Arabidopsis thaliana: one gene and its partners. The protein of the gene in region 4 interacts with the protein of the main gene of each other region in a pairwise test. Each region holds a gene or a part of one and is shown on either strand. Other genes may lie near its edges. The genes, in order: BEL10, BLH2, KNAT4 and OFP4.

Region 1 (7,761 bases), 4.7 Mb from region 4:
ACATTTTGTATCCCTTTTTACTTTTATTCCATGTTTAAATGTCACATGGGGAAAATATGTGTACCAATGAAACAAACTTGTCATTTTGTAGAATGCAGAAGAAACAAAAAAGGATAAACTAAAAATCTATCTTTACTAAAGAGTCCCTAATTCTCCACAGGAAAGATTCAGATCAGCGGAATTTAGTCCTGTGGTGTGCTCAAAAACGGTTGTCCATGTTCTCGACTATGCTTTGCAGTCCTGACTTATACGAAGGATATAACAATTTCACTCCTAGTTTATCCTTCATGCGTTCGTTGCAGACTCGTTTCTCGCCTCTCAATGAACTTTCCTCCCGAGATTCATACAGAAATGGAAATGGTTTTGTGGTGATATTCCCCGGCCAACGTTTCTCGATCAACTCCAAGGCATATTCAAACACCTCTTCTCTTGCTGCCGGATCATCATCAACAATATTGTAGATCTCCCTGCCAAAATGGTTGATTCATCCGTCTCAATGGTTCAATCATCCATCACAAAAGAATGATCATAGATGAAGAGGGATACACAAACCCTGATGCTGGCTTTTCAGTGGCAGCTTTAAGAACTTGGCATATATCTTCAACATGAACTCTCGACGTGAATTTACGGGACGCTCTTCTCTTTTGACCTTCAGACAAACGCTCCTGCTTTAACAAGGTATCAATTGCACTGCAGCAAGAAACGTTCCTTTTGAGAATCAGTTTTAAAGCCTGTTTAAGCACTACATACACAATCAGAAGCTGTAAACAACCTTCGACCAGGTCCATAAATACCCCCAAGTCGAAGTATTTGAGTCGAAACCCCAAGATCACGACCCAAGCTTAACCATCCTTGTTCTGCAGCTAATCTCACTTTGGCTGACTGAGTTTTAGGATTTGGGAGATGACTGCAATATGAAGGAACGACCTTATCTATCATGAACAAAAGAGATGAAACTTGGAAGAAAGAAACTTACTTTTCATTGACCCACGCACCACCACAATCTCCATACACACCTGCAAGCATCAAAGAGAAGTATTGTAAGTTCCTGTCTACTGTGGAAGCAGAAGCATTGATGTAATGAGGAAAGTTAAAAAGGAAAATACTTGTTGATGAGAGATAACAAAGCCATCGAAGATTTCCACTCGAAAGCTTGTCTCTCACAAGTTCTACATTCCGCAACATCTTTTGGAAGTCATCACAGTTAAGACAGTGTTATCAAATAAGAAATCACATTAAGCTCTAATGATAAAAGCTGGAGAAGAAAGCAAACCGGATCACCAATGTCAGCTAAAGGAGGAATGGAAATGAGTAGATGAGTGTAATCTTTCACTGAATCTAGCAAGCTCCATCTGATTAACAAGCAAACAAAAGAGTTTAAGACTCAGATTTTAGAGATTACCATCATTGAAGATCTGATTAAAACAAATACTCAGGTGAGTCTGCAGAAAATGGATGAAGATTAATTCCTCTCTTTTCCCATTCTTTCTTCTTAGAATCACTCCTGCAAGTCCCTGAAACCACCCTAAACCTCCAAAATTGTTAACACCATCGGAGAAAGATGAAAATAGATAGATATAGAGATAAGGAGAGAAACTGAGATATCAGACCAGTCTGATTCTTTGAGCTGTTGCGCAAAAAAACCTCCGACGAATCCCATCCCGAGAATGAACATTTGGTTCGGCGATTCTGGATCTGGTGCACCGGATCGAGAATCGTCGGTTGCTGATAATGGCCGGAAAAAGTTGATTCTCCTACGATTTGAAAATTTAAGTGGTGTGGGAGTAAAACGGAAAGGAATCTCCGGTGACAAACTTGGTAACTGAAAAACCGCCATTGAAATCGGAGGACTGAGAGACTCCAAGGTCTGTTGTACTTTAACTGATTCACAGTACAAAGAAACTACGTGCCGTTTTGTTTTCAAAATCAAGGACTGCATTTCGTTTTTACAGTCCAGTGATATATACTATAAAGAATCGTGAAACATTTACCACAAAAGTCTCAAGTTCAGATTTTTTCACACTTGCAAGTATCCTTTATACCACCGTGAATATTATTATACACACATATCAATATTTGGCTTAAGAGTCTACTATACACAAAAGCAACCTACACATCTACTATATAATCCATAGAGAATGGGTGTATTATGCCTAATACTATAAAAATGCAAAAGCACATTTCTTGCGCTTCAAGAATCATCTCCTCTGTACCAAGAAGAACCAGATAATATCACACAACAAAGTCGTGTAAGTGATGGGAATTGGAGAATCTGCTTTCTTGCTGGTTGCTTCCGCTAATGTAACGGTAATCATCAACACCAAACCCGTGATAGTTCATCAGAGTGTCGTAATCCGATGAGCGGTTTATCTGTTGTTGCTGTGGGTCGTTATCATTGCCTAGAACACGATCTGGTTTGGTTTCTGATGAGAAGACAATGTTTGTTGTGTCTGCAGATGAATAAGCGAGGTTGCTGTTGTTGTTGTTCTCTTGCTGCTGCTGCTGCTGCGATGAGGAGTCTTCTTGGTTTGTGCTGTTGGGTTCTTGGGAAGATTTGGAGATTAGTAACTCAGATTCATCACCAAACTCTTCTTTATACATTTCTTCGATCATCGGTTTCCACAGACGAACTCTCGCGTTTATGAACCAATTAGCAACCTAATCATTTAGCAGAGAAACCAGAATTATTCAAGCAGAACACAAAGGGTGCAAATTTTAAGTGAAGACCAAAAGCTTGGTTTATACCTGGTTCTTTGACAATCCTGTCTGCTTTGCAAGCATGATTTTCTCAGATTCTTTCGGATATCTACAAATAAAAAAAACAGAAGAAAAACATAGAGTCTCTCTAAATGTTTTGTACTGGGAGATTGAAAGATTGTGACTTGTGACTTGTGAGAGAAGAAACACTTACGGATGAAGGAAATGTTCAAAGAGCCAAGCGCGAAGAACAGAGACAGAGTTTTCAGGAAGACCTCTTTGAGGTCTCCAAGCAGGTCGAACCATTCCAAGCTGTTGATGCAAAGCTCTTTGCTGTCTCAACCGTTGATCTAAATACCTCAACCTTGGTATCCTCTCTCCTTGTTGCTCATCCAACGACTCTCCTCCTTTCTCCCCAAGTTTTTCTCTAACAATCTGAATTTGTTCCTTTATTGCGTCGCGAAGAGCACGAAAATGGCGAGAGATTCTGTTGAGAGCAACTGATGTGTAAGGCTTAGCTGATCCAAGTCCTGCTACTATCTCAAATGATGAAGCTAATGCTTCCATTTGATGGTAATATTGGTTATATCTTTTATCTACCTGCAACCATTAACACATCCACAACAACCAAATCACCATCAATCCTGTTATAAACCAAAGGTAGTTTTATGAAATGTAAGTTAGTTACCTCATCAACCATTGTTAAAAGCTTGTTCTTCTTGTTCTGAAGCTCTTCACGTTCAATTGTAGATAACTCAATCGATTTCCCATTCGAATCACTCGATAACTCACCACCTCCTCCTTCTATCTCCTTAGAACCACTGTTAAAGTCATTAACTTTCATCTTCTTCTTCCCCATTTGGTTTAGTTCTTTCTTGACACTAACCACTTCATCAAGCAAATTCTGAGCAGGTTTAAGATACCGAGAACGCAGAACGCTGCTCATAAACCCTCCTGATGTCTCATTATACCGATAATTGTTGTAGAAGCCATTCCCACCATTACCAGCATAACCAGAGGAAGGATCAGATTGACCCAACAAGATCATTTCTTTGCTCTTCACACTCATCTCATCCACATGAAACGGTGACGTTTCCTTGACTGAAATTGAAGGATTCTGACTAGTAAACCCCAATTGGTATTGATGAAAGTGAAACGGAGCAACAGAGATCTGAGTACCAAGGCTCAAAGACAGTCCTTGACCATCGTGAAAGCTTAGATCGCTGCTTGAAACGGTACCGTTTCCTGTTACAACGTCTCCTGTGGTGGTTGGTGGGATAAAAACCATCTCGTTTCGAACAGTATCGCCGCCGGTGACGGTGAAAGAAGCGGCGGCGGATGAAGAAGAAGCTTGTTGGTTTTGTTGTTGATGGTTGAGAAAGATTGGTTCTTGCTGGTAACAACCGACATTACTTGTGTAATAAACTGCCATTGGTGTTTACACCTTTTAAAAGTTTTATTACAGTGAGTTCTTAGTTCGATGAGTTTGGTCGGGAAATGAGATCCTGCAAAAAAATAAGAGGAAGAAGAGTCGTGTAAGGTGTGGAATTTTAAAAATTTCTGATGGAATCTAAGAGAGGTTAAAACATCGTAATCATTTCACACCAAACCATTTTTTTTATATATCATACATAAACAGTTTCGAAAGCAACAAACAGAATCGGACCAAATTATTCGGAGGATTAAAGTCAAATTCTTGATAAAAAGCAAATGTTTTTCGTGAAGAACTGAAGAAACCCAGAAAAACCCAATACAGGAATTGTGTAATCGTAGAGGAATACCCGATCTATGGAGGTGAAATTGAGAGGAGAAAAAAACCCTAATTTGAGGTTGGAAAAAAAAATGCAGAGTAAAAAGAAATTGTGTAGCTCAACGTAGTGAGTCAAAAGCAGAGAAGATTCAATTATTACATAAAGAAGTAAAGTGTCTTGATGATTTCATCTCTTGTAGGAGAATTTCCAAAAAGCAAGGGAGAAAAAAAACACAGAAAGTATACAAAAAATAATAATCAAGAAACACAGTACAAGATTAATCATATCAAGAATCAAGAATCAAGAACTTGAATTTTTAAAAACTACCTGAGGGAGAGAATCAAAGTTAAAAGGAAGAAAAAAAACCTAGAGATTGTGTTTGTGAGTGTGGATGTGGCTGAATCAGGAAACACAAAAGCAGAAGAGTTTCGAACAGTTGAAGACAAAAAAAGATTTGAGACCCAATCCCGAGAGAGATAGAGAAAGAGGCGATTAATAATTGCAAAATTCTTAAATAAACAAATTTTTTTCAGTCCACAAGAACAATAAAACCAACCCAACTTATCATTGGGACATTAGACACCAACCCAATTTTTAAAAATATTATTATGCAATATCAACAATAAAATAAAATAATGATCACTACCGGAAAAATTTGACAACCGCTACCTGTAATTTTTAATTTTTTGCGGCAGAAGCTTCTGTTTCTGATGCTTAGAGTAAAGATAAATTAATATGATTTTTTTTGTGTGCCAACCATTCATAGAGAAACACGTGAGAGCTTACAAATCACCAATTTTCTTTTCTTGATTACGTGATAATATTTCTTATGACGACTTTAACATACAAAACTTAACAATTCCACACACACAAATAAATGGATTTTTATAGATGATTGTATTATACTTTAATGATGTTGTGTTGTCATTGACTTGAGACTCATACTACTTTTCCGTATAAGTTAACTAAATACAACCAAAAGAAAAAAGTTGAAGGAATGAGTGTTTATATATGAAAAGTTTAGTATTTGTATATTAAAAAAAAAAACCAAATCTAACTATTTAAACGAAATAATCTATAATGCGTACATTACCATGGTATCGTGGGAAACTTTTAACGACTTCCTGATTTGTGTACGTGAGGCTCCAAAATAGTGAAATTATTACCTGCCACAAATTATAGAGTCTAGATTTGGATTTCAAACTAAAATGTTTTTTTAAACTATTTGTTCTTATCACCTTGCTTTCATCATAAAGTTAAAGTTCGATACATTTTTAATAGAACTTCTTGAGCACTTTGTAGTTCAATATCTTTGAGGTTTTCTTTAAATGTTTGATATAACGGATATACTTTTAGTTATGCATGGTAGCGGAAATTAAACTCCATCAAATAAAACATAGAAACGTCATTATAGGTAGGAATATGAGATTACAAAACTGACCCTGATAAGCTGGTTTAAGGAAGAAGATAAAACAAAGGTGGGTGTGTGTCTGCTCAATTGCTTAATTGATGGATTAAATGACTTAACAACCAGTTGGTGAGTCCCTCCTTACTCTTCTGTTATACCCAATTTTTATTCTAAGTTCTCTTGTCTTTTTATTTCTTTTGTTATAAACCTTTTAGTTATACACTTACATGTTTGTATTTGCATATTCCACAATGAAGAATACGTAAAAGATTATCTTTATAGCTACACTAATAATATAATCCATTTCCTCTGATTTTTAAAATAACAAGTAGTTTCGTTTTGGTTTGTTGGAGATTGGATTTAGAGCAGCCGACACAAAATCATTTGGCAAGTACCATTGTGTTGGAAAATTATTATTCATGTGTTTTGAGTCTTTGAGAGATGATGATATTGACTTTTGTTTCCACGTGGATCTTGATTTATAATGATGATTAAAAATAAATTAATTAGGCAGTTAGCTGGTGAGAGATTGATTAAATCTACTAAAAATTTAGATTATTAATGATGTAATTATTTTTAAAACCGTATGGTTCTGTAAATCATATTTTAAAGTTGAGGATGAATCGATGATGCTAAACGAGGAAAATGTGTGTGAGTAAGAAATGAACAACCTTTGGTTTGGAGGAAAATGTTGAAGTATAATAATTCTTGCCAATTGTCAAATATATTAATTACATGGATATATCCGAAAAAAAACTTTATAATAAATAGCCACAAGTTATGGCCGTGTAACAAAAAGTAAAAGAATTTATTGCCACATACATTGTTGGACCATATATGAAGACGGATCATCACCACTAAAATTCATGTTTGTAACATTTATATTCTATGGATCGAAATCATTATGCTCTCCATTATTAGAACCAAACAAAACCAAACCAAAATTGTATCAGCAAAACTAATCTGAAGCCTAGCTTAGCTTAAGAAAAAAAAAGAATTAAAACCATATAGTATGCATTAACTATCATCATAACTAGTTTAGTTTTAGGCTTTTAGCAAATAGGCCTTTTAAAGCCCATTATAAATATGAAGAGAGGATTCCATCGGGGGCCTGCTGAGAAACGGCAATCAACTTCCTTCTAAATAACAAAAACGGCGTGAATTGCAAACTTCTGCAAAGAGTCAACACTGATTAGCGGCTTTTCCCCATTAAATCTCTCCTCTAAACTTCTTCGTTCCAAGCTTTCTCCATCACTGACGACAGATCCTTAGAAAGTTCTGAGATCGATTGTTACTGTGTAAACCCTAGGATGTGATTCTAAGCTGTAGAGAGAAACAATGGCGAAGCCATCAACGAGTATGTGGGCAACATTGCAGAAGAAGAGATGGCCACTGATGATTCTATTGGTTTTATCTGTATCAACAGTAGGAATGATTCTCGTGAGATCTACTTTTGATTCCTGTAGTGTTAGTGGAAAGAGATGTAGCCGAGAGAAGGAAGATAACAGTGACATTAAGATCCAATCGGTTTCTGGATCGTTGAATCCTCTCGAGTTCATGAAATCAAAGCTCGTTTTACTTGTTTCTCATGAACTCTCGCTCTCAGGTGATGTTTTGTGATCGTGTTACTCTCTTGTCAAAATCTCTATGGCTAAACTTGAAGTGATGATTTTAGGTGGACCTTTATTGTTAATGGAATTGGCGTTTTTGCTTAGAGGAGTTGAATCTGAAGTTGTTTGGATCACGAATCAGAAACCAGTTGAAGAAGATGAAGTGATCAAGGTTCTAGAACACAAGATGTTGGATCGAGGAGTCCAGGTTCAGATTTAGCTAACCACCTCCATTGTTTTTCTTTGATTCGTATCATAATTGTTAGTGATCAATCTTTTTTGAATCATTCAGGTG
Region 2 (9,709 bases), on a different chromosome or scaffold from region 4:
TGCAATTCTTTCTTGGTATACACTCAAAAACAGAGTTGCTCTGTTTTCACTTTATTTTCAAGAATTGCAAAATCTGATTATTTTTCCTATCTCTTTGTGTTTTTGCAGAAGAATTCTAGAGTTGTGAGTATTGATGGGTACGAAGATGTTCCTACTAAAGACGAGACTGCGTTGAAGAAAGCTATTTCATACCAACCGGTTAGTGTAGCTATTGAAGCCGGTGGAAGAATTTTTCAACATTACCAATCGGTAAGCGAACCGACATTGATTTGTGTATTAAGTAACAAAACCGGGTTTTTGGATTTTTATTAACCTGATTGGTTTTGGTTGGCAGGGTATTTTTACCGGAAGTTGTGGTACAAATCTTGATCACGCGGTGGTTGCTGTCGGGTACGGATCAGAGAACGGTGTTGACTACTGGATTGTAAGGAACTCTTGGGGTCCACGTTGGGGTGAGGAAGGTTACATTAGAATGGAGAGAAACTTGGCAGCCTCCAAATCCGGTAAGTGTGGGATTGCGGTTGAAGCCTCGTACCCGGTTAAGTACAGCCCAAACCCGGTTCGTGGAAATACTATCAGCAGTGTTTGAAATCAAGACGCTCGATAAACATTTGGGATTCTTATAACTGAATTTAATCTCGTATTGTTATTATTGTTTGTATGTATAGTATTTCAACAACAATTTCAAAAATTAGTTGATTCATCATAAGGATATAAAATTTATAAATCCTTATGTCGATCAATTTCTTTTTTATTCAAAGAAAGATTGTTTGCTTGTTTTATGTATTAAGAGAAATATAATAAAATGATATATTTCTTAAGAGCCATTGGTTTTCACTCCTTCATCCAACTAACAACATAACAAAAGTCGGTTTCTTCTACTTCTCCTCAATCTTCTTCTCATCAATTTTCATTATGCACCTCAAAAACAACATTTGTTTTTCTTCTTGTTTTCACCTGCTCTAGATGTTAACTAAGTGATCTGATAAAATAAGGTTTAAGCCGCATGTTCATAAATTCATTTTAGTCATATCTAGAAATGTCGGTGAGAAATTTATAAAAAACTGCATGAACACTGAACACATCTATAGAAACTTGTGTGATATCTATACAAAAACAGATACGCTAAAGCCCAATAAAAGAATTTTGGGCCTATCACTTTCCTTATTGATGGCCCAAACAATTGGGTCACCTCTTCAAGCTTGTATCATGGATTCATGGTAAGTGAATCTATATGATTGTAAATCAGTGATTTCGAACGATTTGGGACTGTTATGTTATAAAGTGAAGGTTTTCATTTTGAACAATTAAAGAAATCTCGAGAAATTAAATAACCAAGAATACAGATATATGAAAACAATAAGTCGTACAACGTACATTAGTTTTCGAAGGGATTTACGTATCGTTTTCTTCTCTTCACGAGATAGAAAAAAAAAAGCAGAGGAGGGCTAGACTAATGTATTGTTTTGACTTTTAAGAGACAAAAATAGATTTTCAATTAAAATAAGTAAGAATGGAAACTATAATTAATTAATTAAATGGAGTGACAAAAGCAAACTAAAAACCCCCAAACTCTCTAACGCAGAAAGAAGCGTCTTTGTCAGGCATGTTTCCAGCGTGGCGTAAACCAAGCGTGAGAGACACGTCACCAGTAGGGTTTGTCCCAAACCTTATAACGTTAACACCATCCATGTCAGCATCATCGAACCCACCTACACTTTGTTGACACGTGGCAACGGCGGAAAACGCGTCTGAGCCACCGTAACGAGAATTCAAGTCGTCAGAAACAGCGGCAGGAGCGGCGGCGTTGGAATAAGAGGAAGGGAGTAGAAGTGATGAAGCGTCGTTTTCGTAAGCATTAATGTTGGATCTTAGACGGTGGCCTGTCGCTACTGCTGCGTCTGCGTCTGATGCGTCTGGTGCGGTTGTCGTTGGAGTTTGTGAAGTGGTCCGAACGGCAGTGAAGTTGCTTTCATTGTTGTTGGATTTTGTGCTCTTGTCGTCGTTGCTGTTTTTTGTTTCTTGATCTTCTTCGTTCTCTTCTAATTCCTCTTCTCTTTCTCTTTCTTTTGATTCTTGTTGGTACATTTCTTCCACCATTGGTTTCCATAAACGAACCCTAGCATTTATGAACCAATTTGATACCTGAATAAAAGAGACAAAATTTTCACTAGTTGAATCATTATAATATCGAAATAAAATTGAGGGCTCTTTTTGTTTATTTGTCATTTGGTTATTTAATGTAGGGATACAAGAAATTGAGGGTTTCTTTGGGACAATTGAAAGCTGCAAACTTTGATGTACTTGAGGAAAAATGGACCCTTTTGCGTCTTTAATGTCGATCTCTTTCTCTCTCTCCTATGTTTTTGTATATATAAATATGCTATAATAATTTAAAGACGAATCCCAAGAAAAGCTAATGGTGAGTGGAAGGCAAAACACATGGTGTTCCTCTGTCATATCACAAACCAAACAAAGATAAGAAACAAAAACCATGCAATAGAGTCATCTCAGGCTACTAGTTAGTGTACTCGTACATGGTGTCAAATAATTTTGGCTTAGTCAAATTCGTTTTGAGTAACTACTAGTATTTATTATTTGATGTTTATAACAAGCATGTATATGTTTATGAAAATTATGAAATGGGTTTGGGTGATAAATTAATATTGTAGTTATATATATAACTGTGTACTATTGTGGAGTTTATTTATAAACATAGAATGATGGGTTTAAAACAAATCTTTAAAACACGCGGTTAAGAATTCGTAATCCAGACTGTGGTCATTTGATTGTCTGATTAAGAGTATACTCAGCTAACACAACTTGGTGAAGTAGAGGCATATGTATTTGATTCATGGAGATTTTAAATTTCATTATATCGTTGGCTATATGTATATATGTAGACTGACCTGATTTCTGGATAAACCAGTCTGTCGAGCCAATAGGTGTTTATCTGCATCACTTGGATACCTGAGAAAGAGACCAGAAAATGACATCACTCTCTATCTTTGCCCTAATAAACTCAATGTAATTTATTTTCTTTATCTTTTCACTATATACAATACAATCAAGTAGACGCAAGAAAAAGTACAGACTTTTTCCTAACAAGGGCGTGAGAATCTAACAGACAAAAGAAAAGTTGATGATTACATATCATCGATCCAGTTTTTTTTTTTTTACTTGGCTTTTTTTGTTTTGTTTTACTCTTAAAGCAATTTGTCAGAGAGGTGAAAATAGTACAAAAACACTACTCTTTTGCTTTATTTCCATTTTTTCGTTCACTCTCGTTAACAATAAAATAGCAAAATTCTAGAGACATAGTACTAAAGAAAGTAGAGGTGAAATAACGAGAAAATAAATACTTTTTCTCAGCTTTTTTCAAAATTCAGTTTCTCTATAATAATTAATAAATAACGAGAAAGAAAGAAAAAATTGACTTACGGGTGAAGGAAATGTTCGAAGAGCCAAGCTCTAAGTATATTGACGGAGCGTTCAGGCAAACCGCGTTGTGGCCGCCAAGCTTCTTGTTCCATCATACCCATTTGATGAAACGCACGGTTCTGACGCAAACTTTGCTCTAGCAAACGCAAACGCGGAGTTTCACCTTTTGTTAACCCGGAAGAAGAGATTCCCGCTGCATCTTTGTCCCCAAGAAGTTCGCAACTCTGCTTAAGCTGAGCCGCAACTGCATCTTTAAGGCATCTAAAATGTCTTGACATAGCTTTTTGAGCCAATGCGGTGTACGGTAATGCCGCACCGTGGCCCATTACTATGTCGAAAGAGTTCACAACCATCTGCATTTGCTCGCAGTAATGGTTGTACCGTCGGTCCACCTGCCAACGAAACAAAACTATACATTATACAATCCATAAATATCAATATTTGCCTTTTTCTTTTAATTAATGTTATTGTTAACTCGTGTGTGTTGTGTTATATGTTCACGTGATTATTATTTAGTGTAGATTTTATCACGGGAACCTATGCTTGTGTACGAGCATCATCTAATAAATAAACTAATGAGATTAATTAGTTACCTTTAAACGAGACAAAATAAGAAAATAAGATATTATATAGACAAATTATTGACCAGAGAATATACTTCAATGTTTGCGCAATCCTACCAACAGCACATTTTATCGTATCCTCGAGCATAAACTAAAATATTTATTTCTAGTGAGAAAAAAGCAAGGTCAACTAAAAAGTAGATAATTCAATTATGGGTAAACAAATAAGTAACGTCAAGGGTTAGCTTTAGGACGTAACTGGAGAGTAGCTTATATGGAGAAGGAAACGCCAATTACATAATTAATCGTAATTATTTAATGCATTTTCTTTGATTAATCGATTCCACCAAACGCTAAGCATCAAAATATTCAATATACTTTCTAATACGACCGTCACACGAGCAAAATGATTAAATTAATTTTAATTTTAAACAAATGATGGTAGGATTGCGCAATCAAACTCTACCAAAATAATCAAAAATAAGTAGTTAATCGAGAAAACAAAAGACCAATTCAGTCATATCAGGTTTCTTGTTTCTTTGTCATAACTCTTGGATCAATTTATGAATCTTATCGAAATGTAACGAAAACAATTTTACGTAAAATGTATGAACTAATATCACTGTAGAGTATAGACAAAGTCAAAATCAATATTAAAAGTTAATATGAACATACCTCTTCAAGCATGGTGAGTAGTTTCACTTTCCTTCTTTGATGCTCAATCCGATCAGACGCCGATAAAGGAGGATGCTCCTTGTTTGCTCCGGCCGACGAAGGAGAGCTGCCACCACCATCACCACCGCAAGTATTAGGGTTTGAGCTGTTCCCAAGTTTGTTCTTCTTCAAAAATCCTCTTCCAACACTACAAAACTCTTCCAACAACTCTTGCGCGGCCGTTGTGTACCTCGAGTTTCTTAAGATATTGACCGCTGCCATGGAAGAGGAAGAAGCAGCCGGAGATGATCGGAATTGGTTTAATACTTGATGGTGATGTTGAGAAGAATTAGCAAGAAGAGTCTTGAATTGATTGTATTGATGATGAGGTGATGCGTTAGAAGAATTGGCTCCGTAGTAAATGTTTCTATACTCTTCCGCTTTTGCTGCAGCCTCTAAAGACGATGAGAGAGATAAGGACAAGCCTTGTCCTCCGTGTCCTCCGCTGTTTTCCACGTGGACGGTCCCAATCTCCGTTTGGCTGTTGTGATGATGATGATGATGATCGGGAGAAGACTGCCACGTCGATATCTGCTGGTGATGCTGATGTGGAAGCTGATGCATAGACATATGATTAGTGTAGTTCTGATGGTGAGTTGTGTTGGTGGATGGACTTGGAAGTAACATGTGAAGAGTTGAAGAATTGTGGTGGCTCCTTGGGGAAGTTGTGGATGACGGAGACGGTGGTTGTTGCGGTGGCGGTGGATTCATCAAGAATAACTGCATGGCGGCTGCGGTGGCGGTGGCTGAATCCGTAGCATTCATAGCCGGAATATTCTGATGTTGCTCCTCAAGCAACTGCCTATTTGACCGGAAAGATTGGCCGAGGTCGAGATCTCTTCCTCCACCGCTGCTTCCGGGGAAATTAAACATTTCGGATAACATACCGGCTGATTCGTAGACCGGAATCCTACCTCCGGCGACTGAAGATTCCTCGTCCATCTCTACCCTTTGATGCTCTTGCTTCTGCTGAGTTGTTAAATTGGGAGAATCTGATCGGTCGAATCCATTAGAGAAGTTGAAGATACCTCCTTGGTGTTGATTATGATGATGATGATGATGATAATCTTGGGACATAGAATTATTGTGAAAAGTCTTCAAGAGAATTGTAGTATTAGGAGAAGTTTTAGTTATTCCCATATCAATACTTCAATCTTTTTCTTCATGATATATGTTAATATCGTTCCAGAGCTCTCTCTCTCGGATCCTGTAATGATTCAGACAAAGAATTTAAAACATATGTAAGTCAGAAACTAGGTCTTACGCTGTTTTTTTGTCCATCTATCTACATCACCTATATAACTGATGATGAACAAAGACATAGAGATATATATATGTAGGTATCTATATATATGTATGTATGCAAAGAGAGAGCATAAGAAGATAATACCTTTGGAGTTTGTTGCAGAGAAGATAATTGAGCTTAGGTATCGTTTTCTCTCTCTCTTTCTCGCTTTCTTTTTCTGGACTCTCCTTTTCTTTCTTACTAAGAGTTTATTCAGAATTCACAAATATTATAAAAGATATATATATCGGAAAGAAAAATATGCGAGAGAGAGGTCACTCTTCTTTCTTCTTCGTCACCCTTTTTAGCCCACCAATCTTCTTTATTAGTTGGTTTCCTATATATATATAAAGCTGCTCGTGCAAAAAAAAAATCGGTGATTTTTTAAACTATGGTTTCTTATGAAAGATTTAGTTGAAAAGGTTAATAGTAGGATTGAAGGATAGAAATTTCTAAGATGCGTCTTTTTTTCACGTAAATGTCTTCTGCCATTAACAATTTGAAGATGTTTATTTTCGTAATTTTTTTTTTTTTTTTTTAAGTGAGTACAAGGTCATATCTCAATGATACGAACCACCACCATAAATTTTAGTAATACTATCGTGACAAAAAAAAAAAACATATATAATATTTAAAATACTGCCATATTTATATTTCCCATAATACCCTCATCTGTCATTCTTCTGATTTCACTGGACTGACTCGCAGATAGGGTCAATTAAGTCCATATTTACGTAACTGGTCATTGTTGGTGCATAGCTCCCCAGTCCTCATCAGCATAATTTAAAGTCTACACATTTATTTTAAATGTAGCATATCTCTATTATCTTAACCTGGAATACCCTAAAAGATCTTCGTAAATAAAAAACTTCATAAAAAAAAAAAAAATCTTCTTAACGTTTGTTAATTTTTTTTTTCTACTACATCAAAATTGAATTTACTTACTTTATGCGAGAATATGACTCTCTAAAACTCCGTACGACTGGTCGTAATCACAACACCACAACAAATTAATCTCATATAATCAATTGATTTTAAGTTCTAACCACAAGTTAATTATCCCTTCCAATCGACTTTTCAGGGAAATGACAAATTAGTTACATATTAATTAGCATTTTCTAATGATAACATAATATATCCCACATACATATATACCAATACAGTGTTAAATAAAATGTAAGCTGTATTTTCTAACAATTAGCATGGCCGAAGTAATAATACTCATGCAAAATAATGCAAAGGCTAGAAAAAGTATATATTCAAACTATTTTTTCCGGCCATCGATCTTGTGATCATAAATTAAATTTTACTACTTGAGGGTCGAGTACGATGTAACTATGAATGGCTTGAAGGATAATGTAATGAAATTCGGTGTGCATTTTTTTTGTTTGGTGTATCAAATAAACAATAAAAGATGAGAGTTCGCACGAGCGGGAGTTGTGGTTTGGAACGTGTGAAAGGTAGGAGGACGGTTCAGAAGTCAAGTGCTCAAAATGTTAATTAGGTTTATGTGGGGGATAATCTAGAAAACCGATGAAATCGACACATAACCGTTTTTTTGGTTCAACAGCTTTGAGTTCGAGTACTTGAGTTTCTTTTTTTGGTATGGCTAGACTATATTTTTAATTCCATGGTTAATATATAGATATCGGAATTTCTTTCTTAAAGCGGTGACATATTTCGTATCACGTCTGTCTTGCTAAAAAAATAGCATTCCCAAATTCGAGTTTTGGTGCATATCCCACAAATGGTTAGAGAAAGTATTAGATATCGCACCGTAGGCATAAGTCCATATTGGGATAAATAATTAATGGAAATGTCGAAAGCACAAGTGTAACTCCACTTATATAATAACATTGAATTTTGTTTATTGTGTGACACCATGTGGGAATCTTTCATGTCAAAATCATATCAGCACGCAAATTCTGTTATTTTTTATTTTTTATTTTTACACAGTTAATTCATGTCGGAGTAGTAATTAAAATAAAATAAAATAAAAACACTCTGTTTTTCCATTTTAATATTCCCTAGAAACGTAAAATTTCATAAAAATACGTTGCAGGTTTTATTTTAAAATTATAGCTACAAAAGTTTTATGTTCCAACTACAAAACCTGGAATGACAATTGACAGCTTAACCTTTCTACCTTCCTACCGATATTTTTTCTCGTTTTCTATTTTTTCCTTTCTGAAATAGAAATGGTTCAATCTCTCTCACGTGAATCCCACCCTCCTTTCACACGTATGCACAACTATCTGTTACGTGCCGAACCTTCCTTTTTCGTACGTGTGGAGAGGATCTTCTTCTTAGGCATTTATACTCTTTACCCACCAAAGCCAACTTGTAATGGATCCTTTTTCCTCTGCTTTATCATATCTTCAATGGTGTCAATTGTCTAACCTTCAACATATTTATTAGTCTCTTCATTTTTATTTCGACACGTTTCCGCTTTTCGACCTCACATGAACATTCAATTTCATAGTATCGAATATTTTGATTGATTTTTTAATTTCTGCGTCTTATAACCAAAGCTATGTAATGTGTTTAACTGTTCATTATCATTGAAATGTGTTCGTAGTTTAATGTAACCGGTGTATTTTGGATAGCTCTTGGATCAGAAAGTGTGATCATGTTGTGAGGTTGAGTCATTTCGACAACACAAAGGAGACTAATTTACTTGCTATGATCAGTAAGAATGTAAATCTTTAGTTGATTTTTTTAAGGTTTTAGATGAATGTATAACCTATAAATTTGGTCCTACGAAAAACAAAAAACATGAAAGCAAAGACAATGAGTCCATAAAACAAAATGTTTGCTACCAAAAATCACAAACTTATAAAGAAATATTTACACAATTAGTTTTTCACGAAAACCAAATGATTATATATATACAAACTCGTGGTGATAAATTATGATTAAATATGAAATGTTATTATATATTGCAATGATCTGTTATATCTGTCGTGATAGGTTTCATATTACCTGACTATAACAACGTTGATTTCCAGATCCTGTTTTCAGACAAAAGGATCATGAACTAAGTTATTGTTGAAAAGGCTTTCATCGGGTTTGGTCTTTTAAGTACGTTGAAGGAAAAATTATGAGTTATCATCCAGATTCGATAAAATTAGAGTTAGGTTTGATTTGATTAAATGTGGTGCAATTGCAATTTGTTAGAAGATTAAAGTCACCACTTTCTCTAAAGGAGATAAAAAAAGGTTTGATTAGCCAAAAGCTATTACAAGGACTCATAATATAGTCTCATAGCCACGTAGGTTTGATTTATTGTCTAGTCAATATACCATATGGTTTCATATCCATCAATCGTCGTCATATGAAATTCTGCAAACCATTATTATGCCTCATGAGTTTGAAAGTTGCCGGAATTACATTCTTTTTTACTGATTTTTTTTTTGGTAATTTCTAATTAGTGGTAATCTCCTTTGTGAGCTTAAGATTCATATGAAAGTTTTGTTCATTCTTAACTCTGTAAGAAGTTTTATTATACATAAAGTTGTAAACAATAAAGTCGATGAGAAAGAAACAAATAAATTTGATTATTTGTCATGAGTAATGGGAGAGTGAGACCACAAAGGGAGTTGTGAAAATGGCAGTGATGGTCCCTTCTTATTCCATTTCTTGTCCTTTTGGTGTTACTCAAATTGTTCCTTTCGTATTTACTTTTTTTTTTCTTTCTCATCTTCTA
Region 3 (8,530 bases), on a different chromosome or scaffold from region 4:
CTACTTTTTCCCTTACAACTATCTCTAGACTTGATCTCCTATCGAGTCACAACATTCAATATCAATCATCGTCATTGATTGTTTCCATTTTAGATATTTGTATCCACCATTAGTCCAGTACATTTTCTATATAAATCCATAGTGTTTCTAATTAACAAATGTATTATGATATGTTTTAAACATATATTTTGTAAATTGTAAAGGTGTAATTTTTTTTTGTCAACTGTAAAGTTTGCTTTATCAAAAAAAAATAATATACTTGCATCGTGTCCCCAACGACGAATATAGATATGCCATAAAAACTAATGAAATCGTGACGTCCTCAACTTGCAATTGTTACCGTACTACATAGATGAATTCCTTCATCGCATATTAAAAAATATCTTAAAATATAATATTAAGATGTAATGTCAAACTTCATTGAACGTTATTTCCTCGTATTGGTGTTCGAGGAAGAGCTTCTTCTCCCATAAATATCCTAATCTTTTAGAGAAACACCAGATGAATCGAATATTTGTATCAATGATTATCCTAATATACTTACATATAAAAAAATCAGAAAATGTTCCTCATAGATTGGCTAACGTGTAACAGAAAGAAGCGCGCGATAAACTAGAGAGAATGTTGAACTTCTTTGTCGTCCTCTCTGTTTATATTCTCTATCTATCCTCCAGTTACCCACTAACACTTTTATTTTGTGTACTTTTTCTGCGTCACTTTCAGATAACGAATCTTTGATATCTTCAGCAATTGTGAATTGATTTTGAAAAGAAAAGTATTATCTATAAGGACAAAAGAGAAGAAGAAGAAGCAAATTGTTTTCGTCGCTGCTGCAACATAACGGATAACACAGAGTCACAGAGAGCTAGCTGTCTTTTATGATTGGGCCAGCTCTAAAATGCTCCTCTCATATGACTGTCTTGTAAGTAGAAGACAAGACCAATCACAAAACCCCACAACGTTCACAATGCCACGTCATGTGCAATCTTATTCTACCTAAAAAGAGACTCTCTCAACTCATACATTATTACCACCACTAATCTAGCTATCTATCTCCATGAAGGATTATAATTGAAGCAAACCTAAATGTGTAAACGGAATTAGAACTAAAGTTATTTATAATCCAATTGATTTTATTATGGTTAAAACAAAACAAAGACCTATGTTTTACTGTAGTCGAATCAAACCAATCCAAAGAAATCGCATTTACTTAAGTTTTACATTGTTAACTAATAACTCGGTCTTAATTGGAAAAACTAAATTTTAACTAAAAATAAAAACAAACTTCTAAAACTATAACTTTTTCATGATCTTATATGGCTATGAGGTATGAACCATTATGTTAATGATTTGTGCTAGTATTGTTGTTAATTATTTCACCAACTTGATTATAAAAAAGAACAAAAAAAAATCTGATTATAGTATGGATAGAAATGGTAGGTCATCACTCAGGTTCAAAACCCTTGCAAGCCAGTTTGTTGATAAAAATGAAAAGTGTTAATCGGCATCCTTAGAAACAAGAGGACTATGTATGAAACGTCGGCGAGCAAACCCTGTAAGGTAGAGAGTCTAGAGACAATGAGGCCCATAATGGACAATAAAGAAAACGCAGGAAAGGGGCCCAAATTGAAAAACTTTATAATCCCTTTTAATAATTTTGACAACGGCGGAGATAATCTCTTTCTTTCGTTTGCTGGCGACCTTCGCAGAGTTTAGATTTTGGCATTAGGGTTAACAATTCCACATAAAAAGTGGTTCCACTCACAAAACAAAACAAAAAAATTGAAACCATTAATTGAGATAATATATTCAAGCTAAATTAATATGTATATTTGTGTAGATTACGGCCAATGATTGCACAAATTAAATGCATAACGAGAAATTTCCATGTTATTCACAAGATATAATGATGGATTGATGGTGGAGAATGGAGATGGCAGTGAAGACTGACGATCCTATCATAAAGTCCATCTAAAACCTCATATTACAAATCATGCTTTGGGGTTTAATTTTGTGTGGCCCTAATCATTACCAAATATGAAAGCCATACCATGTACTGGCACAAAATTACGTCCTACGTTTGTTGTGTAAGAATTCTTTGTCTTCATGCCTCCACCTTTCTATAAAGCTTTTGGATCTCTACATGCAAGCTTGATCTCAACGGTCTCTTCCGCTGTTTTCACCTGCATTGCTTCATAAAGAAAACCCTCCAAATTTAATGACTCCATATATCTTGAAAATGTAACTAAACATTAATCTAACCATACATAAACAAGCTAAACTTTGTCACACCTAACATATATATATTTCAGAGATTGTATCTTATCGTGTGATCATATTTTGTCTTTTCTTGGATACTCTTCCTATAAAGTTATGTTGGTGCAAAGTACCTTCGGCGTTTATTCTTTGAGACGGTAGAAGAAGATGGATTGCTATGCCAATTCCTCTTTCTTTGATTGATGAACCAATTGTTTATCTGTTTGAGCTGCAAACCCGTCTCCTGCACCAACCTCGCCTTATCTTCCTCCTGTCAAAATTTACATGATTCATTTAAAACTTAGGAGATTGAGAAAGCATATGAAGTTGCAAAAATGATGTAGTCAAAGATTTTCGGGACAGAACTAGGTAAAGACCCACGAGGCGTGTTCATGCGAGTGACTGAAGAAGTAGAAAGAGGGAACTCACAGTAGGGTAAGGCCACTTAGAATGAGATTGCCACCATGATTTGAGAACAGAGGTGGTGTCTCCTGGTAATTTTCCAGCTCTTCTCTTCCTCAGTATCTCCTCTCTTATGTCCACAATTTTCTCCTTGTAACCCTTTTCACAAAAACATGGGTCAATATCATTAGTTAAGCTAACTATATATAGTGTGTACCACAATTTTCATGCATATAAGTGCGTGTAAGTACTATGTAGATGTTGCAAACTGACAACTCATCAAACAAGCTTCAGACAATTAAAAATCATAAATTCATTTGAGTCTTTTTGTAGATCAAAAATAAAGTTTTGACAAGTTCTTGGTTGATTGGACTAAATAGAAGCATATTTACTTTAGCTACAACGATATATAATAAGGTGTGAAGGATTTGTTATCATTGATCTTATATATGTGTAGTAGTAAATGATGGATATAGTATATTTCACTAGTTACCTGCTTGAGTTCATGTTTGAGTTCTTGTCTGACTCGTTCCATCAAAGATCTCTCGCTCTCAGTGGGAACTAGAGGACCAAACCCTAACCCATCTAAGCTTCCATCAAACAAATGAGCATCACTCTCTACTTGCTCATCTTCATCCTCAGACATTGTTGCTCCTGTGCCTTCACCAGGAGATACCCCTGTCTCATTCAACAAAACAAGTGTTAAATTAAAACCTCAAGAAGTAGGTACTAAATATAAAAAACAGCATTGAAATGAGAAATAAAATAAAAGAACCTTGTGTCTTTTACAATACTATAGTGAAATACAAAAGTTACCATAACAGCTAAATGACAAATTAAAGTTGATAATTTAGTAGAAGTCTTAAAAACTAACCTGTAAAACTTTGAAGCGACTGTTCAATCTCCCAACAGGCCATAACAGCTTCCATTGCATGAACACGAACATGCTGTTGCAGTTGTTCTTTGAAAGAGCAAAGCAATAGTACATAATGCGTCTGCACAAAAACATGGAAATATCTTTCAGACAACAGATACAATCATACAAATACGTCCATGAACAGTAAAATATGGGATATAGATACAGAAAGTGACAAACTAGTTTTTGTCAGATCACTGTATCCGTAACTGCAATCAATGAAATTGCTCAATCACTTACACTCAGCAAAAATCTATCTCAAAATAAACCTTATGCTGTCAAATTACTACTGTGCAAAACTAATATCCAAATTTTTAACTGACGATTTATCCAACCCACTGATCATGTCTGTCGGTGCAAAGTACAAGTCTAGAAAGAATTTTTGATTTTCTTCTCTAATTTACTTTTATAAATTTGGAGATAATTAACAACAAAATATTCAAATTTGTCAAACCGTTTTAAATATAAAAGATGAAAGTAATTTTTAGTGATTTTATTTTCCAAAAGAAAAGAAAAGGAATAAAATAATGGGAATTGAGAGTGGTAAGAAGGAAAGAGAAGTTAAGTTACCATGAAGTGGTCAAGCTCCTTGTCATCGCCGGCGAGGAGTCCTTGAGCGGCTTCTAAAGTTGAGTACTTAGCCACGACGTTTTGAGACTGAGCAAGCTGTGCGTCTATCCTCGGAAGCTGATCCACCGGCGTTGCGATCCTCAGGCACGCCACGTGTGCCGACAAAAGTTGCTCGTATAGTGGATGAGACAGTATCTCCGCCTTGTGTCTCGCATTCTGCCACCTCTCCGCCTCCTTCTTCTCTCCGATCATTGACTCCTCTCCGCCGGGAACGTCTTCGATGACGTCACCGGATGTTTCGTTGTTGTTGTTGTTTGCGGTGTTGCCTCGTTGGAGGAAGGATGAGGATCGTGAGAGCCACTGGTTAGCGGCGGCGGAAGAAGGAGAATCGGAGCTTGTAGCGGCGGCAGAGGCAGCTGTGTGGAGATTGAGGAAGTTGTTGTCGGAGCGGAGGAGCCAATTAGGGGGTGCTGATTCTTGAAAATGTTGTTGCTGCTGCTGTTGCGGCGGAGGAGGAGGCTGATGTTGTTGTTGGTCGGTGAAATGATTAAAGTGATTGTTATGAAACGCCATCGTTTTCGTGTTGAATTTGTTTTTGAATTTCTGTTTCGGAGAGGGAAAGATGAATTAAGAAGAAAAAAAGAAGAGAAATTCTTAGCTTTGATGTTCAGATTTATCAATCAATTATAGAAACTTTCTTCTCTAAAACAGAAAGAAAATGAAATATAAGGGTTTCGATGTGTATGTGTGTTTGACGGTTTGAATTTTATATGTAGCTTACACCAAAAAAGACGATTTATTCCTATATTTATTCTTCTTCTTTTATTATTAAATTGTAGAGTACCAGCTTTTTGGTGATCCATAATAAATTGGGATTAGGTCAGATTACTAACATTTACAGCGACAACAAAAAGTTTTATCGTTTTACAAAAAAAAGAGATGGTAGAAGTTGACGGCAAAAGAATGATACGAATTACGAAGTGACAGTAAAAGGAAATAGCTGCATCACTTTTTCTTCATTCGTTCCTAACATTTTTTTCTGCTTATCAAAAAGAATTGCTCATTTTTGCTCTATTTGTTTTTGGTACCAAGCAAAAGTAAATAAATTACACAAATCTGCAAAGGATTTTAAAACAAATTTTGAAGAATATCGGAGGAAAAAAAAGATAATTTGTTAAAGAAAAAGGAGAGTAGACGAATGGGAAAAAAGCAAGGAAGGAGGGGACCATTAATAATGACGTCACTACTCGGCGCCAAAAATATCGGAGGACACGTGTCGTGATAACGATTTCCTCTAATTGTGGTCCCTGAAGAAATTGGCATGCGATAGATCGGATAAGAGAATCCAGCCGTACAAATTTAAATTTTACATTATTTTGTATTTAGTAACAAAAAAAATACAAACGATTCAAAAATTTAGAGGTGTGGGGGACCAATTTCAGAAATTTGACTTAAGCTTATAGTTGCTGTCTTATCAAAAAAGTACGACAAATTTAATCCCATCATCAGAAAAAACATAAAATTTGCATATTAATTTTGGTATGAACTCATGACTTCTGCTAAAAAAACATGATTACAGATACACGATATCAAATGTTTGGCATACACATATTATCTAGGAATAAATATTTCAGATATTATAGAAACATACATATACTTATACTTTGTTAATTTGATCACTAAGCATTGACAAAATAAACAAATAAATAGATTATATACTTATGTTACAAGCATATAAATTTTTGCATGTGGTTCCAAATGTTTTTAATATGAGAATTGGAAGCAATACAATATAAATATCCATCGATTTGTATCAAACCCATCTAATGTACTTATTAGGAATGTGATGCAAAACAATTCGTAACCGTCTAATTAAGCTCCATCACTTAGACTAGTCTAACCTATATCCACGACCACTCCTGTCTCTACCTTGTTAAAAGTAATTTAACTTTAACCTACTCATACTTTGATCAAGCTTCGTTACTCATACTTTGATCGAAGTTGGTTTCTCTATCTCGTATACCAATTGTTCAGTTTAAATTTATTCTTTGATTTTGTATTCATAAGAAAAGTTAAATCTTTTGTTGTCAAGTCAAAATTTAACCGGTAAAATTGGCATTAATATATGAAAGTAGACATTTCTTAGAACTATCCAATGATTAGTGGTAATTTATTGAAGGTTGGTGGCCATTGACTGCTTCCAAGATTTGGCCATTGAGTGTTCTATTTGCGTGCGATACACGCGAGAGAGCCGATGAATGAGACTAAACGACAAAGTTGAATCCACCAAAATATCCAAACAGTAAGGTCTGAGTGATGATGAATAAAAGAGTAGAGACATGTGTCAAGTAAACTTCCAGTGTGATAAGGTCTATGTTTCGTGTGGAATCAGCTAACACATGATTGGACAAAGAGAGTCACATTAACGATCACAGTCGTCCATTTCACAACAACTCTTGTCGTCCCTACACTCTTTTCTACGAGAAACGACGAAGTTCCCTACGGCCTACGGCTCCAACTAATCACTCCTTCATTTTTATTTTTATTTCCTTACCTTATGGTTAGTGAAACATGAAATATATATATAAAAATCTTGTAATTACAATGTGCCAAGTTAATTGTAATCACCAGTAAATCTTGAACTCGTGATATGCATTGTGCTTTCGGACCTCGAGATTACTGATTGAACGACCACCACCGATTATTTTTTCTTTTTTGAATAAAAATCACCGATTATTTCTTATTTCACATTCACATAAACAAGCCTTGGATTTGGACCTACTTAATTATATTGATTGTCTAGGACCAAAGCTAAGAGTAGGGTGGTACAAAGAATCTTAATCAACAACTTGTGCTGTCTATATTAGGGACAGAAACAAAATCATTAATTAATTAGTTAATGATAATTGGGGTTGTTAGCAAAAATCTTGTCTAGTTTACAATTTTTTTTTTTTTTTAAATAGTCATTGATACATAAGCCAATGAATCTTCTTTATGGAAACACTAATCTATAGTGGTTTGCGATTGATTTTTAAACTTTATTGACTAACAAGATTATTAAAACCGTGCATTTGCCAATCAAACAAACAAAAACTAATATGGAACTTATATGAAAATTTTATAATATATAGACGCAGCTAGCCTTGAATAAGTATGTGATGATCGTAGAGATTGTATTTGATCGCTGGCCTGGTGACTTGTCAACTATCGCCATTTGATTATATTTATCAATATTGAACACAAGAACTTAACACACAAGACAAAACAATGTCATCTCAGCAAAATAAAGATATTCAGTTTTGTTGGAATTTTTTTTTTCTTTCCTAAAAGATGTTTGTAGAAACAGTGAATCTAATACGAGGATGATGCTCATAATGATGATGCTTTCTTTTGTTAATTTGTTTTGTTGTACACTACTTGGCTTGTGATAGATGAAAATTACAAGGAACCTAACAATATAGACAACATATACATCAAAACATTGAGTTAAAAGAACATAAATACTTTATTTTATTATAAAGATAGAGTAGAGAAAGAACATAGGAAGCTTTTTGTCAGGTTTGTGGATGAAAATGATGGAACGTAAAGGATGTTTTCTCTTCATCTTTCACTTTGTTTTGTAACGATGCCAAAGTTGTTCCTATAGTGAATTACTTTCTCTTATTGCTTTGATTATTGTTCGTAATTCACATTATAGCGTATTAGAGTAAGTCTAATACGCCCTAACAGTTCCTTTGTTTGAGAGAATTTTCTTACATAGGATTTTTCTTTTTCTTATATCTTATAATTTTTTAGTAAGTCTAATACGCCCTAACAGTTCCATTATATTAATGTATACTATAGAGTTTTTCATGTTCACCGCGATCATGTACTATCCAGTTTTTAATAAATATACGCATTGAGAGGGGGGAATGTTGTTGGATGAAATTTATTGAGAGAGATAACTGGGTTATGTTTTCTTTCAAAAGCAGATAATAAATTTTTTTTTGGTAAAACAATATGTTATGTGAAAATAGATATACATATAAAACAAATTTTAATTGGTTCAAGATTGACCATATAATGGCATGCACTCATATCGTTAATGTCTCAAAATCCATATTCAAAGTTGTATAATGCATGTTATTAACAATAAAACTGGTTAATTAAAGATATTGTGTAAGTCATATCGGTACAAGACACAAAAACCTCATTTATCAAATTTTATTAGAATCTGATCTTCTGCTCCAAAAAGATAGAGAAAACAAATCGTAGTCCCCTCCATGATATAAAAGAAATCTAAATGATCATATCAAATAATAGAGAAAGTAAGGGAAATGTTCAAACGATCCTACAAAAAGAAGATAGAAACGTTTCAAAGTAGACAAAACGGAGAAAAGAAGAGTG
Region 4 (5,465 bases):
AAGATGAGAATCCAGTTCTAGTGCGCAGAACTAATGTACACAGCTTCACTTATCTTTCTGTTCTTTATTCATTTCTCGGAGTTAATTTTATCTTGTTTCTAATAATAGACACATTCTCTCACAGGGTGATATTAAAGATAAATTTCGAGTTGAGATGAGACGTGAAGAGCGCCGTCATTGAGTAGGTGAGTTAAACATAGTCATAGTCTATAAGGTACAATCGTCACCCTGGTGACCTTTAGAAGAGAATAACAATAAAGTACTGCTGCATTAGCATCTCAGTTCCCCGAAACTAAAGTGTGTAGAGTAGAAGAGGGGTAATGATATGAACCCTCACAAATAGTGAGCCAAGTTCTAAGAAGCCAATAGTTGCTTACACAAGTTAGCTTTGAAGGTAAACTCTACCTGTAGAACTATGAGCGTATGTATAATGCTTCTTAATACAGCATATAAAATACTATCAATGTTGGTTTTTTACTATGTCAACGAGTCATATTCTGTAGAAGGGAGAAATTGAATATGCAGGAATAATGGATTTTATGATTTCTATATATTTGACCACTGATGTGATAAATTGATGGGTAAACAAATCAATGCTCACCCATCATGGTAGTCTAACTTTATAATGGGTTAGTTGAGCTTAGGAGGGTTGGTGTTTTAATAGCTGATGATCTTCTTACTTTCTTTTCGGCATTAAAATCATAATTATATCTCTCGTTGTTCTTAATCTTACGTATAATTGCTCCATCAATTTTCCATTCTTTGCTTATAGGTATTGGAGTACTGGAGTAGGCATCAGACCTTTTTGTGAGTAGACGAGTACCAACAACTGCTGAACAATGACGTATTGTAAAAAAACTGGGTAACATTTTGTAGCCTTTTGTCTTTAAGACCCATAGAATAGCGTACGACGATGATTGTCTAGTGAATGGTTTTGTTAAGTAAACTAGGTTCCTTAGTCAAATGTAGACGAGCAGTTCATTTCGGTTTCATATTATTTTCTATTACGTTTTCTACTGTCTTGGTGTTTCATTTACGCAATGAGTCGATATCGATTAGGGTTTCGAAAAATTTACCTCAGAGATAAGCAGAGTTGTTTGAATCTTGACCTCAATATCGATTAGGGTTTCGAAATCCTTGTTTGAAAGAGAAGAATAAGAATCACAACGCCTCAAATATATAGCGTTGATAATGGGGCTTCGCTTTAATGGGCCTACAGTTTGTATTAAACCGGCCTTTCCCGTGCACTATATATCAAAATCGAGTTTGGTGTTTCATCATTTAATGTTTATGTTTTGTGGTTTGATCAATTCCCAAGAAATGTCTGTCCATACCGTACTAAGTACTACCAGTATAAATAGATGGTAGAGGAGATGGGCATTGGGAAGCAGCAGCAAAACAGTGGTCCTCATCTTCTTCATCACGACAACAAAGAGCCTTTAGGTTCTTAAAACTCTCTCTCTGCTTTTCCTCTTTAACCATATACTCTTCTGTGTCAGTGTTAGTTTCTCTCTCTAGCGATTTATGTTATTCAGGCTCCATTTTCATGTTTCCTGCTTCATTACTCATTAGGACTGGAACCCATTTCTACTCCGTACTTGATGGGTTTCTGACTTGTCTCCGTGTGGCTTCTTGTCACTACACTTTTGGCCTTTTCTTGACTCTTTTTTTTTTCTTTTGACATTTTCGCTCTTGTTACATAAGTCGTTACCATGACTAAACTCCATCAATCCTAATCTAATCCAAGGTTTATCACTACATGAAACTAATATAATAAAACTCTTTGGATTTGTATATTGTTTCTGAAAATATCACATAAACATTTAGCAGCACATACTGTTTCACATTTTAATTCTAAAATTGAATTATTATCATCCATGAGGCATGTATTGAATAAGTATGTTTTAGTTACTGATTTTTAAATTACTGAATAAGTATGTTCTATTACCTTCACAAACCATAACCAGAGACGAAAAGGAAGCGAGTGATTTATATGTCTTTATCACGTTATTCAGACAACACAAAAACTGGTCTTGCAAAGAAAATCTCCACGGCTACATCAAACTCTTTAAAAGAACTACAATTAACCAGAGATTTAAAGCTTTTGATCATAGTTCATTCTACTTCGATGCAAATGTAGAGTTTATGACTTCAAGCCAGACTTGAACGAAAACCTTGATAATGAGATCATGATACTCCTTGGGATTCAAGGTAAGGTAACATACTAGAAGATCCTCCATGTCGTTAGAGGTTCTGATGTTGTTCTCTGCTATCATCTCCACCATTGATTCTCTGAAATCCTTGCTCGGATCGATAGAACTCTTGATTACTGCAAAACTGTCAAGAATTTGTTTGTTCTGTGATCTTGATTTGCTTCTACGAGGCGAGACTTGAATTCTAGGAGATCTCGCTCTGAGCTTTATCCTTGGAGATTTAGCTGATGATCTTCTTCCACTAGAAACTAATGTTTTCTGATGTTTCTTCTTGGTTCGACATGCATCTTCCTCTTCATCTTCTTTCTCTTTACTGACCTTCACAGAGAGATGATGAGGTATATGTGTTTCCTTGGTTCGGTTACTTGCACGACAGGCTTTCTCCGTTGAATCAAACTTCGTGATCTCTTTGAAAGTTTTCTTCTTGAAATCTCTATTATTCATGTCGATGATAATATCATCTTCAGAAGAAATGACTTTCAAGTTGGAAGAGGCAGAGAGAGAATCATGGCTTTGATGAAATGTTTTGTTAAAACCTGCAGATACAATAGAAGAGGAAGGAGGAGAAGGCTTGTAAACAGTCTTTCTTTTGCTCTGTATGTTGTGAAGAGAGTTTCTTGGTGAAATTTGAAGGATCCTAGATTCAAAGGATGTGCGTGAGCGTGACCTATTGAAGAAGTAAGAAGTTGAAGAGTAAGGAAGAGACTTTGACTCAGAGGAAGGTTTTCTCTTCTTGGTAGTGTTTATGGAGTAAAGAGGAAGAGAATGCTTTTTTCTAGGTTTTGTCATGTTCTTGAGCTTGTGGAACCATTCACTTGGGCTCATAACTGACAATCTTAACTTATAGTTCCTCATCTCTAATTTCAAAAAATAAGTGATCTTCTCAGATAAAAGAGAGAAAAAAAATATGTATAGTTTGCAGAGTTTCTATGTGACAAATAAAAGAGAGAAGAAAGTGTAGAATTGGGATGTAAAAGGGACAAGACGGAACAAAATTGGGATCCACTTCATAGAATGTCTTTGTTTGTACCAAACTCATTCCGGCTTCTCTCCCTAACCGAATAACCAAGTTAAACCAAATCAAATCAAATTTAAATAAAATATCCTATCTAAACCGGTGTAATCGAAATAATTGAGGTGTACGTAGATGAGATTGAGAATTAAAAGGTTTTATTAGACTTGAAAATTGAGCAACAAAGTGTCCTCAAAAATTGTCTGTCGGTAGTAGGTCGATTGGTGGGTATCAATTAGACTAAATAGAATATTTCTGGTAAATTGCTTCCAAAACATAATTCGGCGAACGTGACAAAGGGTTTCAACAAAAGAGGTTAAACAAGATTTCAGGTTCATGTCCAATCTCTTAATATAGCCATAGTCATAGTATATAACAATAATGGTGTAGAAGAAACTGTAGAGAATAATAAAAGACATATTTGCATAAAACTCGGCGTGTCGTCTCCTTTTCACCAATTAGCTTGTGGTCTCCCTACCTCACACGTGTGTGTTTGACCAAAGCTTTTTTTTTTTGGGTCAACGACTCATATTTGAAGCTAGGGTTCGACAAACGAGCGGGGTCAGTCACAACCCTAACGACTACTACTGATCCCAGTAAACACCGATATATTTACCCACTCCTCCTACTCATAATGTGACAATATCTAGGTCAGATTATAGCTTAAAATTAAATTTGCAAAAAACATTCAAATTAAGGCTCAAGTTCATGGGACTCCACCATCACGACTTCGTGTCAAAGGAAAAGACGTGAAACCCACGTAACTCGAACCACCCTCCCAAACCTACACATTATACCACAACAACAACAACAAAGAATAAATCAGCTTCGGAAGGATCGAGAATGAGACTGAAGTCAAGTTTGATTAGCTTGAAATCAAAGCTTTCAAAATCATGCAACAGATTCATCTCCTTCTTCCATGCTCGTTTTCGCAATGTCAATACCACACAATCTTCATCATCTTCTTTGTTGTCTCGTCTCTGTTTTCTCAATACTAATAAGGAGCAGAGGATGAGCCAGATCAGACCCAGAAATTCCCCGTGTAACAACAATTTCTTTTGTAACTATTGTCGATTTTATAGAGTACCTTTGATCTAAATTTTATTCTACAAATATGCCACTGCAGCTAGTCTGATCGATGATTCCAAGCTTCTGCATTCAAGAAAGATGTTTCCTTTGGCTATGACGCAAAGGAACAAGAAAGCGAGGACGAGTCAAAGACATATGTTAAAGGAAGATGGTGTGAAAGAGGCTTGCAGAAGATTCGAGAACTATATGATCCATATGTTCGTTGAAGATGGGAAAATAGATGACTTGATGGACATGGAAGAGCTTCTCTATTATTGGAAGAATCTTAATAGTCCAATCTTCATTGATCTTGTGACTAGATTCTATGGAGAGCTCTGCACTGACCTGTTTCCAAGCGACCATGACGATTAAAGATCATTGAAATGGGTTTTATAATATATGCATGATAACACAGAGCATTGGATACAGAGTAGCTTTCTCTGTGTTCTGTTTTTTTTTTGTAAGTTGTACAACTTCAAGTGACAGGAACTTGATTTTACTACATTAAATCACGGAAATAAAAGATAATAAGAAAAGATTATTAAAGGATGGTACATTTCACATTTCTATTTACCAAGATTTCCGGTAAACCCCAGAATTCAAAAGATGAGAAATCTCAAGGTTTGGTTGCTTCTTCCCTCACCAATGGTAGTAGGCATTATTTCTCCGGAAAATAATCAAGGGGGAGCCTCGTCGTCTTCATAGGTATTATGTGGACGTGGAATCTTAGAATCAGGGGAGTCAATGAAAAGCGAAACCATGTATGTGGGACCTGTTTCAGAAACAACTAAGACTTGAGAAAGAGACTGACTCCACTCTCCAGTGGTTTCAAGGAAATCTCGAGGGACCTCTGATAGTACGCCAACGGCAGTGATGGTGATAGGGCCAGTGTAGTTAAACTTCCTCAAATTACGTTTTATAGACGGACCTACCCGAAGAGCATCATAGCCATCCGGAACCGGACACCCCTTTATCTCCCAATAGACCGATATTGTGGCCACAGCTGCCTCCCTCCATCATTCAAGGCCTTAAAGGTAAGAAAAGAAAAAAACAAATTCAGAATATATATATATATATAAGTTGTAGGCTATCTATGCAATTAGTCGATGAATTTGCAAAGAAACATGAAGAGATAAGGAGCAGAGAAATTTACCTGAGAGATAAGCAGAGTC

Evidence for each region.
Region 1: the proteins of OFP4 (region 4) and BEL10 interact in a two-hybrid assay, tested with the Arabidopsis thaliana proteins (one large-scale study listed by BioGRID).
Region 2: the proteins of OFP4 (region 4) and BLH2 interact in a two-hybrid assay, tested with the Arabidopsis thaliana proteins (one large-scale study listed by BioGRID).
Region 3: the proteins of OFP4 (region 4) and KNAT4 interact in a two-hybrid assay, tested with the Arabidopsis thaliana proteins (one large-scale study listed by BioGRID).

Annotation. Positions count from the first base shown.
Region 1 is NC_003070.9:6,807,726-6,815,486, forward strand, and holds BEL10 (BEL1-like homeodomain 10), read right to left. Parts: upstream 5,339-7,761; 5' UTR 5,118-5,338; intron 5,033-5,117; exon of another isoform or gene 4,479-5,032; intron 4,270-4,478; exon of another isoform or gene 4,203-4,269; 5' UTR 4,130-4,202; coding exon 3,386-4,129; intron 3,298-3,385; coding exon 2,912-3,297; intron 2,807-2,911; coding exon 2,746-2,806; intron 2,659-2,745; coding exon 2,233-2,658; 3' UTR 2,040-2,232; downstream 1-2,039. Other genes in the region: AT1G19690 (NAD(P)-binding Rossmann-fold superfamily protein), read right to left, coding at 200-467, 553-690, 773-907, 977-1,016, 1,107-1,185, 1,274-1,352, 1,433-1,525, 1,611-1,837; AT1G19710 (UDP-Glycosyltransferase superfamily protein), read left to right, coding at 7,195-7,462, 7,532-7,674, 7,759-7,761.
Region 2 is NC_003075.7:17,365,572-17,375,280, reverse strand, and holds BLH2 (BEL1-like homeodomain 2), read right to left. Parts: upstream 6,367-9,709; 5' UTR 6,109-6,366; intron 6,103-6,108; exon of another isoform or gene 5,926-6,102; 5' UTR 5,859-5,925; coding exon 4,680-5,858; intron 3,834-4,679; coding exon 3,442-3,833; intron 2,971-3,441; coding exon 2,910-2,970; coding exon of another isoform or gene 2,886-2,909; exon of another isoform or gene 2,454-2,885; coding exon of another isoform or gene 2,394-2,453; exon of another isoform or gene 2,146-2,393; coding exon 1,558-2,145; 3' UTR 1,270-1,557; downstream 1-1,269. Other genes in the region: CP1 (cysteine proteinase1), read left to right, coding at 1-15, 109-249, 335-589. UniProt on the Arabidopsis thaliana protein: Transcription factor that establishes leaf shape by repressing growth in specific subdomains of the leaf. Negatively regulates knox homeobox gene KNAT1/BP expression.
Region 3 is NC_003076.8:3,506,595-3,515,124, reverse strand, and holds KNAT4 (homeobox protein knotted-1-like 4), read right to left. Parts: upstream 5,293-8,530; 5' UTR 4,718-5,292; coding exon 4,145-4,717; intron 3,654-4,144; coding exon 3,533-3,653; intron 3,337-3,532; coding exon 3,152-3,336; intron 2,818-3,151; coding exon 2,686-2,817; intron 2,528-2,685; coding exon 2,391-2,527; intron 2,192-2,390; coding exon 2,158-2,191; 3' UTR 1,384-2,157; downstream 1-1,383.
Region 4 is NC_003070.9:2,122,734-2,128,198, forward strand, and holds OFP4 (ovate family protein 4), read right to left. Parts: upstream 3,170-5,465; 5' UTR 3,069-3,169; coding exon 2,121-3,068; 3' UTR 1,943-2,120; downstream 1-1,942. Other genes in the region: TRFL7 (TRF-like 7), read left to right, coding at 1-35, 125-181; AT1G06923 (transcription repressor OFP17-like protein), read left to right, coding at 4,069-4,267, 4,352-4,665; AT1G06925 (endonuclease/glycosyl hydrolase), read right to left, coding at 4,971-5,304, 5,418-5,465.